Linked DNA regions of Canis lupus familiaris. The protein of the gene in region 3 interacts with the protein of the main gene of each other region in a biochemical or structural test. Links are inferred from orthologs where the notes say so. Each region holds a gene or a part of one and is shown on either strand. Other genes may lie near its edges. The genes, in order: ACTBL2, RAD23A, UBE3A, UBQLN1 and FAF2.

Region 1 (2,776 bases), on a different chromosome or scaffold from region 3:
TTTTAAGATAGAATATTTTATTTCCTTGGTGCTTATGTATATATGGATATTATTGACCCATATAATTAGTTATCTTTATACAAAGGAGAAAGACAAAACAAAAATACTAACTAATAAGACTTATTGCTAACATACACATTTCTATAGGGTTACATGGCATATTGTTAAATATTTAAAGCATGAACTAGTTTTTAAGGCTTGGAAATGCTAGTTACTCATTCTGAAAGGACATTTCTTAGGATTTTACTCCTTGTCACTCATTTTCATTTAAGCAGGACAACATTTCTTTGAACCTTATAGTGAAGAAAATAGAATCAACTCTCCTTGAGTTGATAAAGGTCAAGATGTGGTTAGCTGGGCAGGAGCCCAGAGTACTCTAATGGAGATCAGTTTGCTGGCTCTATACTAGCAAGAGCAGAGTATTTACCTTGACTCAATGGAAAGTGGATAAAAGCAGTACCATTACTATGACCTAGAGAAGGAAAAGATGTAAACCCATTAGCACGAAGACCAGTCAGAAACATTTTCTATGAACTATGGGAGGACCAGCCTCATCGTATTCCTGCTTACTGATCCACATCTGCTGGAATGTAGACAGGCTGGCCAGAATAGAGCCCCCAATCCAAACGGAATACTTCCTCTCTGGGGGAGCTATGATCTTGATTTTCATGGTGCTAGGTGCCAAAGTCATGATTTCCTTCTGCATCCTGTCAGCAATGCCAGGGTACATAGTGCTGCCTCCAGACAACACGATGTTGGCATATAGATCCTTGCGAATATCCACATCACACTTCATGATAGAGTTGAAAGTCGTCTCATGGATCCCACTGGACTCAATGCCCAAAAAGGAAGGCTGAAAAATGGATTCAGGGCATCGAAAGCGTTCATTCCCAAGGGTGATCACTTGCCCATCTGGAAGCTCGTAGCTCCTTTCAAGTGAAGAGGATGCAGCAGCACTGCCCATCTCTTGCTCAAAGTCCAGGGCCACGTAGCACAGCTTCTCTTTGACATCACGAACAATTTCCCGCTCAGCTGTGGTGGTGAAGTTGTAGCCTCGTTCTGTCAGAATCTTCATGAGGTAGTCGGTCAGGTCTCTGCCAGCCAGGTCCAGACGTAGAATGGCATGAGGCAGGGCGTAACCTTCATAGATGGGCACAGTGTGAGTAACCCCATCCCCAGAATCCATCACGATACCTGTGGTCCTCCCAGAGGCATAGAGGGACAGCACGGCCTGGATAGCCACATACATGGCCGGTGTATTGAAGGCCTCAAACATGATCTGAGTCATCTTTTCCCGGTTGATCTTGGGGTTGAGGGGTGCCTCGGTGAGAAGGATGGGATGCTCATCTGGTGCCACACGGAGCTCGTTGTAGAAAGTGTGGTGCCAGATCTTCTCCATGTCATCCCAGTTGGTGACCACTCCATGCTCAATGGGATACTTCAGAGTCAGGATGCCTCTCTTGCTCTGAGCTTCATCCCCCACATAGCAGTCTTTCTGGCCCATGCCGACCATGACCCCCTGATGCCGGGGACGCCCTACCATGGATGGGAACACAGCCCGGGGGGCATCATCACCACCAAAGCCTGCCTTGCACATTCCTGACCCATTATCTACCACCAAGGCAGATAGCTCATCATCGGTCATGGCGCTGGCTGGAATCTTCCAGGCAGGTGAACAAAAGTTAAATATAGAGTAAATAGCAGACTACAGTGTCAAGTGAGAGAAGGAACAGATTGAGACACTCTGGAACTGCTTTCAGAGAGGAAATCCTGTGCTGTGATGACAAGTATTTAAAGGTACACACTGGCCCCACCCATGTCCTGTCCCACCAGTTCCCATCATTTCTGGGTGAGGTTGCCTTTGAGGTATTAATAATGATGATGATGATTATACAAATCATTAGTAGACCTTCCTTCATAAAGAGAAAATTGGCTACCAAAAGTAGCCAAATCTGAGGTTACTGTAATTAGGCAACCCACACATGGTTGTCAGCATGCTTTGGCTCAGTCTCTAGATAACGATGATGATGCAGTGGGGGATGTAAGAGCAAGATGAAAGAATGCTAGTGAGAGGTAGGAGTAACACTGCTGGGAGGACCGCTCCCTCCTCACTTTACCCTCTGGATTCATCTTCTCCACACTAGCTTTAACTTTTCATTCTTAATATATTGTTCTCATGAGGAGCCCAATGCCGAATATTTTACTTTTTCAAGATTTTCTTTCCCATTGAGATCCTAATCCCACAGGATGTTATCATGATTGAAATTGTTTTAATGGATGAAGATAATGAACGGCCAAGGGTGGCCCGACAGCTGTACTTACCATACATTTGTGTTGTGCAAAACTTAGGGCTATTTAATAGACTTCTAATCCATTAGACAACAACTAAAAGCATAAAATGATCAATAAAGTAAACCACTTCAGATTTTCTTTCTTGATATAAATGTCTAACAGCCAAATTATATTAAGCACTTACTATGCCCAGGCACTGTTCAGGGTTATTGGGTCCATGTTGACTGCATAGAGGCTCAATGATTAATTGTGTTACATGATTTGTTAGATAAAATGCAGATTATAAAAATTTTATTCATTTATAATAACTCTTTAGGTCAAAAATAAACATAATTAAGTGATAAGATAAATTTTAAAATTATATATTTGAGCTGATCTTTAAAACATTTTGATCTTCAAGATTCATGTACTGTATTATAACATCATGCCTCTATAGTTATAAAAACGTACGTACTTGGAATAGTGTTAGCTTTCCTTTTCCTTT
Region 2 (4,029 bases), on a different chromosome or scaffold from region 3:
TTTACCCCCACAACCTCAAACCAGTGGGAGAAGAGTGTGTTCTAAGCGCCTTTACAAAGACTCCAGATATTACTCATTGAGTCTTCATGCCAAACTGAGCTTTGTTTTTAGTTTGCCCCATTCAGTTTGATGAGGCTAAGCTCCAAAATGTAAGGGGTAGGGCAGGGCTATGAACTCACACCATAGCACCATTTCATGAGATCTATTTTACACTCAACCGTATATACTTCTTGACTGTTAAAAGAGCAAGACTAGGATGATTGGACTATTTTAAACAAGTATTCTTAATACCAGTCAGGGTTAATTAAGTTACTCCTTTTATAATCAAGAATATAGGTTCAGATATGGTAGATCTAGCATGTTGGTAATCCTTGAATTCTTGGAAAGAGATGGCCTCAAGGAAGGTGCAGAGATGACAGGCCAACAAGGTCTAGGTTCTCTAGAGCCCATCTCTTTTGGGGTCTACTATGGCTGCCACTGAAGTCCAGCAGGTGGCCTGGAGCTTATGTCCCTTGTTGCAGGAGAGAGACAAGAAGCCCTCAACAGCCTGGCCTACTATGGTGGGAACTTCCAGGCCCTGCCTGCTGTGAAGGGAAAAACAGCAGGACCTGGTTACAGTTGGGCAATGGGTGAGGTGTCCGGTAACTCCCTGGTGCAGGGCGTACGTTGAGTGAGAAACTAAAGAGTTTTGGAGGCAGGTAATGGTCAGTTCAGGATGGAAGGGCCTCCACCCAGTAACTGGGAGAGAACTCTGCCTTGCCACCATCCAGTCCCCCAAAGCACCATCATCACCTTCAGCCAACTAATCCTTCATTTTTTAAACTAATTGTTGGTGACCTTTTGAGTGTTTTTTCCCAGTCCCGAGTAAGGGTTCCTTTGAGGGTAGCCACACTAGAACAAAAGTCATTTGGGAGACAAAAAAAGCCTTTGTACAAGAAATACAAGTGTCTACAACAAGTAGATGAAAAATTTTGTTCGATGTAATCAACAAACTCAAGATCATGAAAGTGGGGGACGTTGGAGCCATTTTGTGGCCGTCTGACGTCACCGCTAGCGGGCATGGCGTCACTCTCAGGGAGCCACGTGACGTATATGCGTGCTGAATGAGAAGCTGCCTCCGGAAGCCGAGTTTACTCTGCGCATGCCTGGCCAAAAGCCTCTCGCGCATGCCCACCAAAGCTAAGGGGGGGCGGAGGTCACGTGCTCTGGTGGTCGGCGCGCGCACCTCCTGCCCCGGAAGCGGTCGGCTCGCGGCGCGGCTGGGCGCTAAGATGGCGGCGGCGTGAGTTGCATGTTGTGTGAGGATCCCGGGGCCGCCGCGTCGCTCGGGCCCCGCCATGGCCGTCACCATCACGCTCAAAACGCTGCAGCAGCAGACCTTCAAAATCCGCATGGAGCCTGACGAGACGGTGGGAGCTGGACCGGAGCCCGGGGGCGGGAACGACGGGTGCCGGGGGATGGGGTGGGGGCGGGGAGGACGGGATCCCGACTGGAGGGGCGGGGAGGACAGCGCGGGCAGGGCTCTGCCCACCCGTCCCAGCCTGCCTGTCTTTCCCGAACCTCCCTGTGGTTCTGGGCCCAGCCCCCGGCGACTTGTGCTGATGGCGCTCAAGGGCCGGTCTCCAGACTAGGCCCCACCCCCGGGGCACCCATCAGGCCCGGCTCCAATGTCAGCGCCCTCGCGGGTCGCGGGAGCCGAAGGCTCAGATTCCCGGCCCGGCCACGCTCTCCGGGACCGGGCCTCCGAGTTCCCAGCTTTGCAGGCGTCTCCTCGGGACGTTGGTGGCCACATTTGGGAGTGGTGACGCCAGTGACGATGATAATGATAATAAACGGCCTGACTTTTCAGTGGTCTGTGTTGGCGGTTCTTTACCAGCAGCGGAGCAATTTTGTGTTATCTTACTAAAGTTGCAAAACAGACATCATTTGAGCACTCTTGACTCACTCCGTTTTACAGATGTGGGAATTTAGAAATAAGAGGATTTTGCTACGGTCACATAAAGCAAGTAATGGCAGACGGGTTTCAAATTTGGTTTTGTCTCATGTGAGAGCCCGTGGTCTAAACATTGCACTGCGTTTTTAGCTGAAAAGAGGTTTAGGACGCATCAGACATTGAATGTGTGTTTGGCGCTTTGCACAACTACCTCATGGAGACATTGAACTCTACGTTTTGTAGAAAAGGAAACACTCATATTTTTTGATCACGCCAACTGTTTGACTTTGGGCAAGCTACTTAATCTCCCTGTGCCTGTTTCCTCAAATATAAAACTGGGGTAATGATATCTACTTCATGCAGTAGTGAAGCTTTAAAAGCGGTATGTACACACTTATGTTAGTGCTGTCCGTATAAGATGTTTTTGGCAAACACAGCACTGTCAGCAGTGTGGAATGAGGAATCTCGTTTCCTCTTTGTTTTACTTTTCATCACATTTTACGTTATCTGAGGTTATATTTTTTTTCACTTTTCCTCGCATTAGTGTTATCTTCACAGACGCAGGGAATTATGTTGAGTTTTGTTCCTTTCTATGTTATGTGCTCAATTCCTAGAACAGCACCTGGCGTGTAATAAGTGTTAGGTAAATACTTCGTTGAATAGTGGGATCTGGCATGCTTTACTATGAAGCTTAGCTTCTCTGCCATTGAGGTCTGCAGTCCCTTCCCCTGCCCGTCCCCCCATCAAGAAAGAGTCTTGAGGTTTGCAATGAGTGTTCCTCTCCTTCCAGGTGAAGGTGCTAAAGGAGAAAATAGAAGCTGAGAAGGGTCGTGATGCCTTCCCTGTGGCTGGACAGAAACTCATCTATGCTGGCAAGATCCTGAGCGATGACGTTCCCATCAGGGACTATCGCATTGATGAGAAGAATTTCGTGGTCGTTATGGTGACCAAGGTGGGTAAAGTGTGCTGGCTGGGAGGGTGAGAGAATTAGCTTGGGATCTGACAAAGAGCCTGTGTGCCCAGGAGAGATTAGCTATGAATAGGGCGGGGCTGAGACGGGATGGGATGTTGGGGCTAGATAGGGATATTGATGCCTGCTCCTTTTTCTGGGTGTCACAGGCCAAAACTAGCCCAGGCACCTCAGTACCCCCAGAGGCCTCACCCACTGCTGCCCCGGAGTCCTCCACATCCTTCCCTCCGGCCCCTGCCTCAGGCATGTCCCATCCCCCACCTACTGCCAGAGAGGACAAGAGCCCATCGGAGGAATCAGTCCCCACGACATCCCCGGAGTCCGTGTCAGGGTAAGGCCAGGGAGCAGAAGCCCCAGCTTGGGCCCTGTTTTCCCAGCACATTTTGACACATACATGTTTCCACATACCTGGGGGAGGGCAAGCCGCCAGAAGCCAGGGTCCGATTTCTCTCTCTTGAATTTGCAGCTCTGTTCCTTCTTCAGGTAGCAGCGGGCGAGAGGAAGATGCGGCATCCACACTAGGTGGGTGGGTGGTCCCTGGGGCAGAAGCAGTTGGGTGCCCGCCAGCTGTGGGGCCTTGTGTGGGTGTGGGGGGCCTGGGAACTGCCCTTCTCCCTCCTTGGTGACCCAGACCTTGCTGCTCCCTCCACAGTGACTGGTTCTGAGTATGAGACGATGCTGACAGAGATCATGTCCATGGGCTATGAGAGGGAGCGGGTCGTGGCCGCCCTGAGAGCCAGCTACAACAACCCCCACCGAGCCGTGGAGTATCTACTCACGGTGAGGTGGGGCTGCTGCCTCCTGGGGAGGCCTCAAGGGAGTACATGGGCTTACATGCTGTAATGGGTGGTCAGAGAGGCAAAACTTTGTCCTCAGAAGACTTTGGGTTGTGATTCCCACCGGGAAAGTCTTCCTGCAAGAGCCTGGGCATGAATGGTGGGGTGGGCCTGTGGAGGGCAGGGCCAAGGCTTCACCTGTCTTCTGCCAGGGCTGAACATGCAGAAGGGAGGCAGTGGGCAGTCTATGCGTTAGAACTAAATAGGACCCCTGACAGGGAATTCCTGGGAGTCCCGAGCCAGAACATGGTTCTGTCCAGGAGAGCCAGGTGTCGGAGCAGCCAGCCACA
Region 3 (4,015 bases):
AATGGGAGAAAATGAAAAAAAGAGTAAGGAACCGAGTTAAAAATCGGACATGATTTAATACTGTCATTTATCATTAATTGTTCTGGGATAATTTAAATTCCACTAGCTTATTTTTTACGTTTTTTTTTTTTTTTTTTTTTTTTTTTACAGGTTATAATTGGGAAGCCGTATCCATATATCTGACTTATAATGTTCTAAGAATGGCAGTTAAATACAGTGCTATGTAAGACTGTTGATTTAAAAAAAATTGAGTATCAGATGAATGGGATCTATATAGTATTTCGGGGCTTAGCGAAGTCGTAAGCCATTAGGAATACTGTTTGTTAGTGATCCCACTACAGCTTTGCTAAGTGTCGCAGAGCCATAAAATAAGCCCTTTTAAATAAAAAGGTGACCTTGATAGTATGAAGACGCATGGCTTTAAGTGGCTTCAATTGTCACGGGGATGGAATCAGCATCCCCCCGGCTGGTGTGGACCACGAGGCCACCATCTCCTAACAACCTGCCAAGGGATGGGCTTTCACCTTCGACTACAGTGATGACATTGTGTCGGCGGGAGGCCCAAGCAGATGACCTTGTCCCCTGAAGGTGGCTCACGCTCTCGGGGTACCACAGCAGGACCTACAGCTGCCGCCTGACGGGAAGGGGCTGAGATCGAAGGCCCGGTGTCCGGAGGCGTCGGCCCCGCTATGCGGGGCTGGAAGCCATCACAGCCCCCGCCCCCCGGCGGACCCATCCCGGTTAACATCGGGAGCGTTTATGTCCTAGCACGTCCCTGGACTTGGGTATACCAGGGGGCCGTCCAGCCCTCCCAGGGGCTCCAGGGGGCTCCCGGCGTTACCCCCTTCTTTCCGCGGGGATAGAGCCACCACAGACAGAGGTGGCTCCATGGAAACACGAACTCCTCTGCCTCGTCCCAAGATGGCGACCAGCCCTGGTAGGACTCCAGGGAGCCCCGAGCCACTTCCCCTTCCCAGCAGGCCCTGCGCGGGCGACGACGGCAAGAAGGCAGGGGGCGGAGCCGGCGTGAGAGGGCGGGGCACAGCGCTGCGCCCGCCCGCGCGCACCCCAGCCCCGCCTCACGTCGCTGCGTCCCGGCCCGGAGCTCTCGCCCGGCCGGGCGGCGCGCGCTGCCTGCTGGGATACTCGGCCCGCCCAGCCAGTCCTCCCGGCTTGCGCTGCGGCCGCGAGATCCGCGTTTTTTTCCAAGATGGTGGCGCTGGGTTCGGGGTGACTGGCAGTAGACGACAGAGCCTGAATCCCCTTCGCCGGAACCTCGACACACCGCCTTCCTCCCGCTCACGCACCCCGCTGCCACTTAGCCATCCGCCGGCCTGCGCGCTCGCCTTCCGCCGCCGCCTCGGACTTGGGCTTCATCTTGCGGACCCAACGCTTCGGGCAGCGGGCGGCGGCGCCTCCCTCGGCGCGTCTCGGGGTCGCGCTCGGAGCAGTCCGCAGCCCAGCCCCGGCTCGGCGGGCCCCGCAGCTCCCCAGCGCGGACAGGCGGCGGCTGGCGGCGAGCTCGGGTTCTCTTGCGGCCCCGGCGCCCCCTTTCCCGGCCTCCGTCTCCGGAGAAGGAAGCGCGGGTCCCGCATGAGCCCCGGCGGTGGCGGCAGCGACAGGGAACGAGGCGGTGGCGGGCGGAGGCGGCGAGCGAAGGCTACTGCGACCAGTGAGGCAGCCGCGGCTGCGAGGGCCACGGCCCGGGCGCGGGGGCGACCGCAGGTCAGTGTGGCCGGGGGCCGTTCCCGACGTCGTCCGTGTCGCCGAGCCGCCTTCCGGGGCCTGGGAGGGAGGGTGGGAGGCCCCCGGACCGCGCGGCGGTGGGGGGGGGGGGGCGGCTGCTGCCAGGACTAGGCCTCTGGTGGCGGTGGCGGCGGCGGCGGCGGCTGCCTCCGTAACTGTCAGTCCTGGCCGAGGGCCGGAGGGAGGGTGGTGTGGCCGGAGGGGACGCGAGCGGGCCCGGGGCGGGGCGTGCAGGGCGTCGAGAGTTGGCCTCGGTGGAAGGGCTCGCGGAGCAGGCCGGAGCCGGGCTGGTAGGGCCGGCCCTCTCCTCCCGAGGGGAGAGTTTTTCTTGAGGGCTCGGCCCCGTGGGTGAAAAATGCTGAGCCTGGCGCTGCGGTGGGTTGGGATTTGGGGGTGGACGGTGGCGGGGGTGGGGTTGGGGGGGAGGGCGGATGAAGTGGGAAATCGAGCCCCGGGTCGCGTCCACAGATTATCCGCGTTTTCATGTTAAACGTGAGTTACCGGGTTTGCCAGAAATTCCCTTAAATGCAAACCTGCAAACAGTTGGCATTTTTTACTTTCCCTTTTCAGTTGAGAAAATGAAAAGGACTCTTTCTTCGTCATGGCGTGGAGGTTTTGTTGGTAAAGTGAGAATTGAACGTGGCAAATGCTTTAATCAATAAAATTGTTAGAAATGATTTTAATGTAGACTTAGACTCCTTCAAAGATAATTTAGTCTCTGAATTTTTAAAAACGACCAGTGGGCATACTAAAATAGAAACATTACTAAATCTGTCTGGGATTCTATTTATTAAGTGGCTAGGGTGCTGTTGAAATGTAAAAGAATAGTAATATGGGATTTACAGTCCATAGTTACCCTCCGTAAATATGAGGGGAATATGGATATGACCCATAATTTTGGAGAATTCCACTGCCTGCAATATTGAAAGAAGCAGGAAATTATTCCAGAATATTCTGGGGGGAAGAAAAGGGCCTGAAATGGAAAGGACCTAGAGTTTGGAAGTATAACTGTTAAAAAGTTACCTGTCAGAGTCACTGTGGATACCCAATAAATATCTTGAGTGAATTAGACAAGAAGGATAAGAAGTGTTTATTCATAATCTCTGACTAATAAGTACTCAGATTATTGTGTAAGCCATGTAAAAATTTAGAATTTAGAAAGATAAAAGTATAATTTTGTCATGATATATATAGAAATAATTTTAGAGGTAGATGGTGCTTATAAATCGGGTTATCACATTTGTAATAAAATGAATACAATATTCACGATGATGCTGATAAGACCAAAGAATGAACCTGAAGCCTTTTAAAGAAACTAATAATCATGACAACAAAAGCAAGAAATAAATTCAAGAAATAATGACCTTCTCCTTACAAGAATGGGACTGGAAACTAAGGAAGTCTTGTATCAATATATATTATCTAGTATGCTAAGTATTATGTACACTGTTGTCTGGACATTGCCTAGTTCTTGAGGACTTTACAGAGTAAATTACAATATTACAATGTTTTGGTTCCTTTTCAGGGGTTTTGTAAGCTGTTTTTGTTTTACTTCTCTGAAATTGTACATTTTTTTCATGGCTTAAAAAAATACCTTCTTAAGTATGCTTATTAGAAGTGTGAGGAAGACACATTCTCATCCCACTTGCCCAGCTCATGTAATAAGGTTTATTGGGTATTTAAAATTGGATTTTAACATTTAATCAGTTGTATTTCTTAAACTTTAGATCATTTTTAAAGTGGTACTCCTCTCTCCCCTCCAAAAAAGAAAAAAAAAAAATCACCCCACACATCTGAAATGATTTGCCATTTCAAATAAGCAGTCAGTGGAATAATCCAAAACTATGCATCATATCTAAATTTTTCAACCCAAACACTTGAAATATTTACAGATGTTTATTTTCTTAAATGATTATTGGTTATGTACTTGTCATGTTGCACATTTTTGTTTATATCTAAACTAGTATTGGTCAAAACAGGGACATTACATTAAGTACATAGGTATCTGTTAAGAAATTAGTTTTTTGATTTTTTTTATGAGTGAAGACAAGTTTTCTCTTTTTAGGATAATTCGGGATAACAGAGTTTTGGCTGATTTTGACATTCCCTGCTCTGCCCCCACTGCAAATGAAAAGATAAATTCAGACATTATAATGTATACAGGGAAGATAGCTTTGGAATTAGATTCCATTTTTACTTCTGGGCTCAACCTTACTTGTTTGATCTTAGAAAGTTACTTAGTCTTGGTGAGCTGCAGTTTTGTCATCTG
Region 4 (4,147 bases), on a different chromosome or scaffold from region 3:
GTCACTGTGGGCTGTCTGGGTTTCCATTTGCGCAATACTGATTAATAAAGCTAATGTCCTGGGTTCTATATTCCTTGCAAGTCATCTTTAAAGGCAAATGACGTCATTTCAAAGCCCGAGTTCTAGGGGGGGGGGAGATAATTAAATTATTTATACCCACACTCTACTAAAAAGGATTTTTGAACCTAAAATCTGAACTGCAGGAATAACTTGACAGAATGTAAAACGAACACCTCGGCTTCATTCAAGCGCCCCAGGTGGGGGGGGGGGGCAGCCCTTGGGCCCCCGTTTCTGCCCCCGTACTTTGCGGGGCAGCGTCCAGAGAATCCGGGGCGCTCGCGCAGGCTGTCCGGGCGGGGGGCGGCGGCCTGTCAGCAGAGGTGGCCTGATCGCCAGACCCAACCGGCTGACCCGAGGGCGGGCCGCCCGGGCCGCGGGGCAGTGACTCCGCGGGATCGCGCAGGGTGGCTACGGCCCACTCTTCCTTCGTTACGACGAAGCGCCTTCCTCCATTAACGTAGCTTCCACCTCCCGCGCACCGGGCAGTACGGGCAAGCATCTCAAAGGCCACAAGTGGGCAAGCGGACGGCTGTTACCGCGACACCCGGCACTCCCACTGCCCTCCCCGGGGTCCCGGGTGCGCGCAAAGGCGAGGCGAGCGCTACGGCGCGGAGGGGCCGGGCACGGCCGCCGCGGGGTCCGCAGGGGGCGGGGGCCGCCGCCGAACCACAGCGCGCAGGCGCGTCCGCGTCGCCCAGTGGTCGAGCTCCTTTCTAGTAACTTCGCTAGGCGTGAGGTCATCACCGCGCGCCGTTACCGTGCTTCCCAGAACACGCTAATTTGTTTTTTAGCCAAGGGGATGAAATGAAATGAACTGATCCCTCCCGCCCCATTTTGCTTTTAGCTCTCCTCTCCGGCTGCGCCTACCCTCTGGGCCATGGAGCCGGGACAGGGAAAGAAAGGCGGCCGGGGCTGGAAGCGGGGCTGGCCGGGCATGACTCGGCGACGCCGCCAGCCGACTTACCCGGCGTGCCCTGCGCGGCGCCGGCCGAGGGACGTGGGGGGAGGGGCGGGGAGGAGGAAGAGCGGCGGCGGCTGCGGATGTCGCTGCGACCGAGCGGCGTCTGAACTCACGGCGGCTGCCGAGCGCCCAGCCCGGGCCTGCGCCGGAGCCCGCGCCGAGCCCCGCGGCCCCTCGCCTGCCAGGGCGGCCCCGCACCGGTTGTCACTGAGGCGGCGTGCCCCGCGTTCTCCGCTGCCCGGGCCGGCCGGCTCTGCCGTCTGCTGGCTCCCCCTCGCTCGCCCGCTCCCTCCTGCGCGCCTGAGTCACCGCCGCCGCCGCCATGGCCGAGAGTGGTGAAAGCGGCGGCCCTCCGAGCTCCCAGGACGGCGCCGCCGCGGCCGAAGGTGCAGGCGCCCCCGCGGCCGCTGCGTCCGCGGAGCCCAAGATCATGAAAGTCACCGTGAAGACCCCGAAGGAGAAGGAGGAGTTCGCCGTGCCCGAGAACAGCTCCGTGCAGCAGGTGAGGGCCGCCCTGGCCGCGGGCCCGGGTGGGGGTGGCGGCGGGACCTCCGCCCGCGGCGGGAGGAGACCGTCCCCCGAGGTGCTGTCGGCCCGCCTCGCGGGTCTCGCCCCGAATCAGATCACACCCAAGTTGCCGGGTGTGCTCCTTGGGACACCGCAGAGGCTTGTGGCGGGGCCCCGCGGCCTGCTGTGGGACGCGCCGACGCCGCCCCCTCCCCCCGCTCCCGCGTCCGCGGACCACCAGCCCCCGCCCCAGCCCCCGCCCCCCGCCCCCCGCCCCCCGCCCCCCGCCGCCTCCCTCCCGCTGCTCACAAAGGAAAGGGACCACCGCCGCGCTCCGGGCGGGGTGGAGGCCGGGCTGGGCGAGGGTTCGCGGTAGCCTCCTCTGCGGTTTTGTCTCCTGAGTTAAAAAAAAAAAAAAGGGTGGGTGGGTGCCCATTGTTTCACCTGCTTGCAGCTTAAGGTCGATTTTGGGGCGAGGAGCACGTGTACATTTAGTTCTGCGTTTTGATTGCTGAAATCTTTTCTACCTTCTAATCTTCAAAAAAAAAAAAAAATTAACCATGACGTAGAAATCGTTTTCAGCCACATCTTAATAGTACTAGCCTTAAGGAAGAAAGGTGGATGACTTTCATTGATGACTTGCGGTTTTCTTTTTAGTGTTTATCATCCCTTAGGTGCCAGTCATCGGGAAGGTTTTTGTTTGATTTTAGAGGGATGGTAGCCACGTTTTGCAGATATTAGCGGTGGCAGTCGAATGCAAGAGAACAAAATTGGAGTTAATGGAGAATATTGCCAGATAATTTACTGCTTAAAATTGGGTTCGGGTGTACAAACTTTGCTGTTCAATTAAGAATCTTGAAGAATTCAACAAATTTGTTGTAGCTTATTGTTGAAAATATTTTGCATAGTTGTTGACCTCTGACGATCTAAAATGGGAACAGTTTGAGGGAACAACAATGTGAAATGTACATGTAAGTTTTCTCATAAACTGTAAATGGGATATTGGTTTACATAATCGTTCTGAAAGGTGGTGTAGAGTAGAGCAGGAAATAGTGGTGTAAATAGAGTAGAGCAGTAAGTAGAGTGTACCATCAACTGAGAAACTTTTACCACCTACTGAATCACCTTTTGTGTGTGTGTGTGTGTGGGGGGGTCCCCAATTGTATAAAAATTTCTCTTAACATTTTAATATTTTCTAACATCTAGCAGAGTTGAAAGAATGGTACAGTGAACATTCATAGTTCGTCACCTACAATTGACGCTTTGTTTTATTTGCTTTATCACGCAACTAATCATGTATTACTTCCTTTTACTTTTTGAATGCATTTTAGAGTAAGTTGCAAGTATCATTAAATGTTTTCAACAAATACACCTATATGATCCAAAGTTTTATCAAGATGTAGAACTTTACAGTTCAATCACTCCCCTCCATACATCACTGTTTTGATTTTTTTCACCATTAGTTTTTGCCTGTTCTAGAACTTCACATAAGTGGGATTATATAGTATATATTCTGTTGGGTAAGGTCTTTTCACTCAGTGTAATGTTTTTGAGATGCATTCTTGTATATGCCAGTAATTCCTGTTTATTGCTGTGTTTTCCACTGTGTGAATATGCCATTAATTAATGCATTCTGCTGAGGGCCACATGGGCTTCTTGCAGTTGGTTGCTGTGAACATACAAACTTTTTTTGTTGGACAGAGGGAGTTTTTCCTGTTAAAATTCTTAGAAGTGGAATGACTGGGTGATAGCGTAGTTGTAGGCTTAGTTATGAGAAACTGTCTTTTTAAAAAGAGCTTCTATCGCTCTTTTTTAAAGGCTGGTCGAAAAGAAACAACCCAGATGATTAACAACCCCTTAGCTGATGAATAAAGAGTAAAATGTGATATATTCCCCTACAATGGAATACTATTCGGTATTCCACCAAAGGTTCTACCAAAGGTTCTTGGGAGTTCCTGTTGCTCCACATCCCTGCTAGCATTTGATAGTGTCAGTCTTTTTCATTTTAGCTCTGCTAGGTATATTAGCTTTTGAAGCCCTTAGATCTTCTTTCTAGGATTGCTAATTCAGGTCTCCACCTTCATGCCTGCTTTCAGCATTTTATTGTAAAGGATTGGAAAGAGTCAATATTTTATAAATAGAAAAGTACATTTAAGTTATTTTATGAGGTACTGTCTGTTAGGATTTATATATATATTGTGTGTGTGAGAGTGACATTAGAATTTTAAAGCCTGTGGGAGTTTTAATTTTACTTTTCTGTAACCAAAGTAAATTGGTTAAATTAAAGCTTTTCCGAAGCAACTTATTCTGATGACATTTGAATTTTTATTCTGAAAAGTGCTTTCTGTTGTCATTCGTTCATTAAAATTAGTGCAGAGAGCAGAAGGGAGCTTCCAGGTAACGTGTCTAATTAGCTTGTTCCGGGATTTTGTAGTGCTCTAGGTTATAGTAAAAGATTTTGAAATCTAGTTCTCTGAAATATTCAGGCAACATATATTCTAGTCTTAGAAAACATTTTTATCATTTGAAACTTTTAGAATATTCGTATACTTAGATATAACAAGTATTGCATAGATTTGAGCCTTTTCTTGTTAAGGGAAATTGCTGTGTGTCAGGATC
Region 5 (3,515 bases), on a different chromosome or scaffold from region 3:
ATGGGAGGGCACACCCTGTCTTCTACCAGGGAACGTACAGCCAGGTCAGTGCCACAAACCATATAGATGCCAATTTATTGATATGGTTCTATCCATAAAGGAAAGCATAGCCCAGCACTGATCATGTCATTCTTTTACTCAAGAACCTTAACTACCTCTTGACTGCTTCCAGAAAAAGAAAAACCAGCCCTACTTGATCTAATCCCAACCTCCTTTTGAGGTCTTTGCTGTATAACTTGTTTCTCCATACCATAGGTTCCAGATAAACCATTTCCTGAACATATTTTATATATTTTTTCACTTCTGTGCCTTTGCTTTTGCTTTTCCCTCCACCTGGAATGCCTTCCTCACGTTTTTTGCTAAATGGAAGCTTTCCCATCCTTCAACTAGGTCATATCACTCCCTTCTTATAAACCCTTTCTGATTGACGTGTCCTACCTGGCCTACCTTGCAGTCTAACTAAAATAGTAGTCTTTTCTTTTGTGCTTTCATAGTTTTTTTGAAAACTTAAAGCAGTTTCACATTCTTCCTTATATCATGGTTGATTATGTTTATTTTTTATCTCCTATACCAGACAGTAATCCCCTTAAAGGCAAAGTCTAAGTCGTCTTTGATCCCTCACAGAATTGAGTAAGGTCATAGGCCATAGACTGAAGGCAGCACATCTCAGTCAACCCAAGCCACATAAACCTTTGATACCTCTTAAGGGGTGAAAATTAAGAGTTCTGTGGGTGTTAGGCATATCTCGAGTTTGCCAAAGAAAAATGTAGAAGTAACACTGTGTCTATAGTCCAAAGGATGGTTCTGTTCTGCAGCCTCCAGTATTCCTGAATCTATCTGGTAAAAAAAAAAAAAAAAAAAAAAAAAACACACACACAAAAAAAAACTTACTCTTGCTTTCTGCTTTGATTCTCCCATATCGGCTTTTTCTCTTAGTTGGTCTCCTCAGAGGCTCTGCTGCCACCCTACTCAACAAGCATTAAGCACCAACGCTAAAGATGCAGTTGTGAATTAAATTGGTACCTCTGCACCCTCTTTGCTATGATCCTGAGGGTAGACCACCATTGGTCATTCCAGAGATACTAATTGAATTGTATTGTGCTGAAGATTATGCAAAATGCAGAAGCATACAAAGGAATCTTGGACACTTGCGTTGTCTTTGAAGATCTTTTAAACTTTGTGCTCTTTAGAATGTATTTGGGTCCCTCAGTCTTGCATCCCTGCTTGGTATGTGGCCTGGGATCAGGCTCATCTTTGCAGTATTTTTTATGTATAAAGATGTTGTAGCTGTAAAGTGGCAAAATTCTCACCTCCCCTTTCATGTGGTCAGATTCTCGTTTTTATCTTCCTTTAGACTGTGGGAACAGCTGACTTTTCTGTGATTTGTTGGGGACCTTTCTTTGTTAGCCTGTCTACTCTCATGTGCCTAATACAGTTTAAATCCTAACACCGAACCTTTTCATTAAAGCTTGTTAGCTTGGACGTTTTGTAGGGAGAAAAATGCCAGGGGTATGAAGGTAGGAGCCCAGAATCTGATTTCTTGTTCACATTTTTTCCTCATTTCTCCTTTTGTTCTCTTAGCCTAAGGAAAAGCTCAAGGCATAGTCGTCATAATAATTAGTGATCTTCTGTTTCTCACAGGCACTTAACGATGCCAAGCGGGAGCTTCGCTTTCTTTTGGTTTATCTTCATGGAGATGATCACCAGGACTCTGATGAGTTCTGTCGGTAAGTGGATTGATTGATTATTTAAATTTTTTTGTCTGCTGATGTTTTGTAGTAAGCAAGTTCTTCTCATATCCTTTTCATCCCTCTCCACAGCAACACACTCTGTGCCCCTGAAGTTATTTCCCTAATAAATACTAGGATGCTTTTCTGGGCATGCTCCACAAATAAACCTGAGGGATATAGGGGTAAGTTGTGTTTCTTTTTCCTCATTGAGATTGTTGAGATATCTTTGAGATAGTCTGGGAAAACACGCCGTTTATTGCATGACTATTCTGTGTTAGACATGTGCTCATTACATTTTATATATTATCATATGTAATCCTCTCAGTAGTCCTGAAAGGAGGGTTGTATTATTTTCCCTTTATGGTTTAGGAAACAGGCTCAGAGAGTTTAAGTGAGATTGTACAGTTAGCAATCTCAGGTCTGTTAGACTCTAGTGCATTCTTTACAGGTAACCATTGCCAGGTTTTATTTTTAAAACATCCAGTCCTATCCAGCAGGACTAATCTAATCGCTTTTAATCTAAATGGCTTTTTACTGAGGAGTTGACTCTCATCATGAGTGATTTTATTTTATTTATTTTAAAGATTTTTATTTATTTATTTGAGAGAGAGAGATAGAGGGAGAAGCAGGCTCTCTGCTGAGCAGGGAGCCCGATGTGGGGCTTGATTCCAGGACTCTGGGATAATGACCTGAGCCAAAGGCAGACGTTTAACCACCTGAGCCACCCAGGCGCCCCCCATCAGCAATTTTAACAGCTTCTTGCACATTGAATTAGTTGGGTACTCGAGTGCTGATAGGGATTCAGAAAGTTCAGATCTTTGCTGACAGTAACTCTTCACTAGAGATAAGTATATTTAGAAGTCAATATAAAGCATACATTAAGAAAAATGTAGTTACTTTGTAGTTACTTGTGTTCAGCAACTTTTGAGTATATACTAGCATAGATACTAAGAATCAAAGATGTTTTGCCTACCTCTTAAAATCTGAATCTTTACTCCTAATTGGTTTTTAAACATCTGATAAATTCATACAGCATGCGTTTTGCTACTCTAATATGGCTTTGGGGATATGGAAGGTAGTTGATAGAAAGAGATATATTTTTTATAGAAGCTTATAAAATATCTTCTTTAAAACCATAAGAAAAACATAAATAAAACTCCTTTATGGTAAAATCCTGCTTATTTGGAAAACTAACTTTCTAAAACCTCTTTGGAACAAAAAAAACTAGCTCTTTTGGTTGGGGGTAGGTGAGGGAGACATGAGGAAAGGACTAAGGAAGGGATTGAGTAAGAGGAAGAAAAGGCAGAAGACAGTGGTGGATCTCATCACCAGTAATAAAAGGCTGAGATTTACAGCCTTATTTTCTTTAGTCCTGATACCCAGTATAGGGGAAAATTATGCTTAGCAGTAGCCAAATTCTTTATAGGTCCTTTTTTACCAAAATGGCTTTGTCCTTGACTTCTGCAGTCTTCCCAAGCATCATTATGACAACCACTCCTGCCAGAATAGTTTATCCTATTCTAATCAAATTACCTGGGAATAGGGACACAAAAATAAAATAAAACCACAGCAAAGATTAAAAAACTAGGAGGAAAAAAGGTATGTAGAGAATAAGTGAGACCTCCTTTCATTCCCAAGTAGGGGAGTAAAACCTTCCTGTCTTGCTCCTTGTGGAAAGTCTAAGAGTTGATCTGGTTCATCCGTAGGGCTGCCCTTAACCTGTTGACTCTTCTTTCTCAGTCTCGCAGGCTTTACGAGAGAACACCTATCCATTCCTGGCCATGA

The links.
Region 1: the proteins of UBE3A (region 3) and ACTBL2 form a complex in vitro, tested with the Homo sapiens proteins (2 studies listed by BioGRID). The link is inferred for Canis lupus familiaris from reciprocal best matches to the Homo sapiens genes UBE3A and ACTBL2.
Region 2: of the proteins of UBE3A (region 3) and RAD23A, one has a biochemical effect on the other in vitro, tested with the Homo sapiens proteins (9 studies listed by BioGRID, with this or other methods). The link is inferred for Canis lupus familiaris from reciprocal best matches to the Homo sapiens genes UBE3A and RAD23A.
Region 4: the proteins of UBE3A (region 3) and UBQLN1 form a complex in vitro, tested with the Homo sapiens proteins (2 studies listed by BioGRID, with this or other methods). The link is inferred for Canis lupus familiaris from reciprocal best matches to the Homo sapiens genes UBE3A and UBQLN1.
Region 5: of the proteins of UBE3A (region 3) and FAF2, one has a biochemical effect on the other in vitro, tested with the Homo sapiens proteins (2 studies listed by BioGRID). The link is inferred for Canis lupus familiaris from reciprocal best matches to the Homo sapiens genes UBE3A and FAF2.

The regions. Positions count from the first base shown.
Region 1 is NC_049223.1:43,696,014-43,698,789, forward strand, and holds ACTBL2 (beta-actin-like protein 2), read right to left. Parts: upstream 1,646-2,776; coding exon 515-1,645; downstream 1-514. UniProt on the Homo sapiens protein: Actins are highly conserved proteins that are involved in various types of cell motility and are ubiquitously expressed in all eukaryotic cells.
Region 2 is NC_049241.1:49,644,329-49,648,357, reverse strand, and holds the start of RAD23A (UV excision repair protein RAD23 homolog A), read left to right. Parts: upstream 1-1,222; 5' UTR 1,223-1,337; coding exon 1,338-1,409; intron 1,410-2,723; coding exon 2,724-2,885; intron 2,886-3,052; coding exon 3,053-3,234; intron 3,235-3,369; coding exon 3,370-3,425; intron 3,426-3,555; coding exon 3,556-3,683; intron 3,684-3,957; coding exon 3,958-4,029. UniProt on the Homo sapiens protein: Multiubiquitin chain receptor involved in modulation of proteasomal degradation. Binds to 'Lys-48'-linked polyubiquitin chains in a length-dependent manner and with a lower affinity to 'Lys-63'-linked polyubiquitin chains.
Region 3 is NC_049224.1:35,646,760-35,650,774, forward strand, and holds the start of UBE3A (ubiquitin-protein ligase E3A), read left to right. Parts: upstream 1-1,206; 5' UTR 1,207-1,725; intron 1,726-4,015. UniProt on the Homo sapiens protein: E3 ubiquitin-protein ligase which accepts ubiquitin from an E2 ubiquitin-conjugating enzyme in the form of a thioester and transfers it to its substrates.
Region 4 is NC_049222.1:76,346,977-76,351,123, forward strand, and holds the start of UBQLN1 (ubiquilin-1), read left to right. Parts: upstream 1-1,343; coding exon 1,344-1,523; intron 1,524-4,147. UniProt on the Homo sapiens protein: Plays an important role in the regulation of different protein degradation mechanisms and pathways including ubiquitin-proteasome system (UPS), autophagy and endoplasmic reticulum-associated protein degradation (ERAD) pathway.
Region 5 is NC_049225.1:37,718,187-37,721,701, reverse strand, and holds part of FAF2 (FAS-associated factor 2), read left to right. Parts: coding exon 1-44; intron 45-1,641; coding exon 1,642-1,727; intron 1,728-1,820; coding exon 1,821-1,912; intron 1,913-3,470; coding exon 3,471-3,515. UniProt on the Homo sapiens protein: Plays an important role in endoplasmic reticulum-associated degradation (ERAD) that mediates ubiquitin-dependent degradation of misfolded endoplasmic reticulum proteins.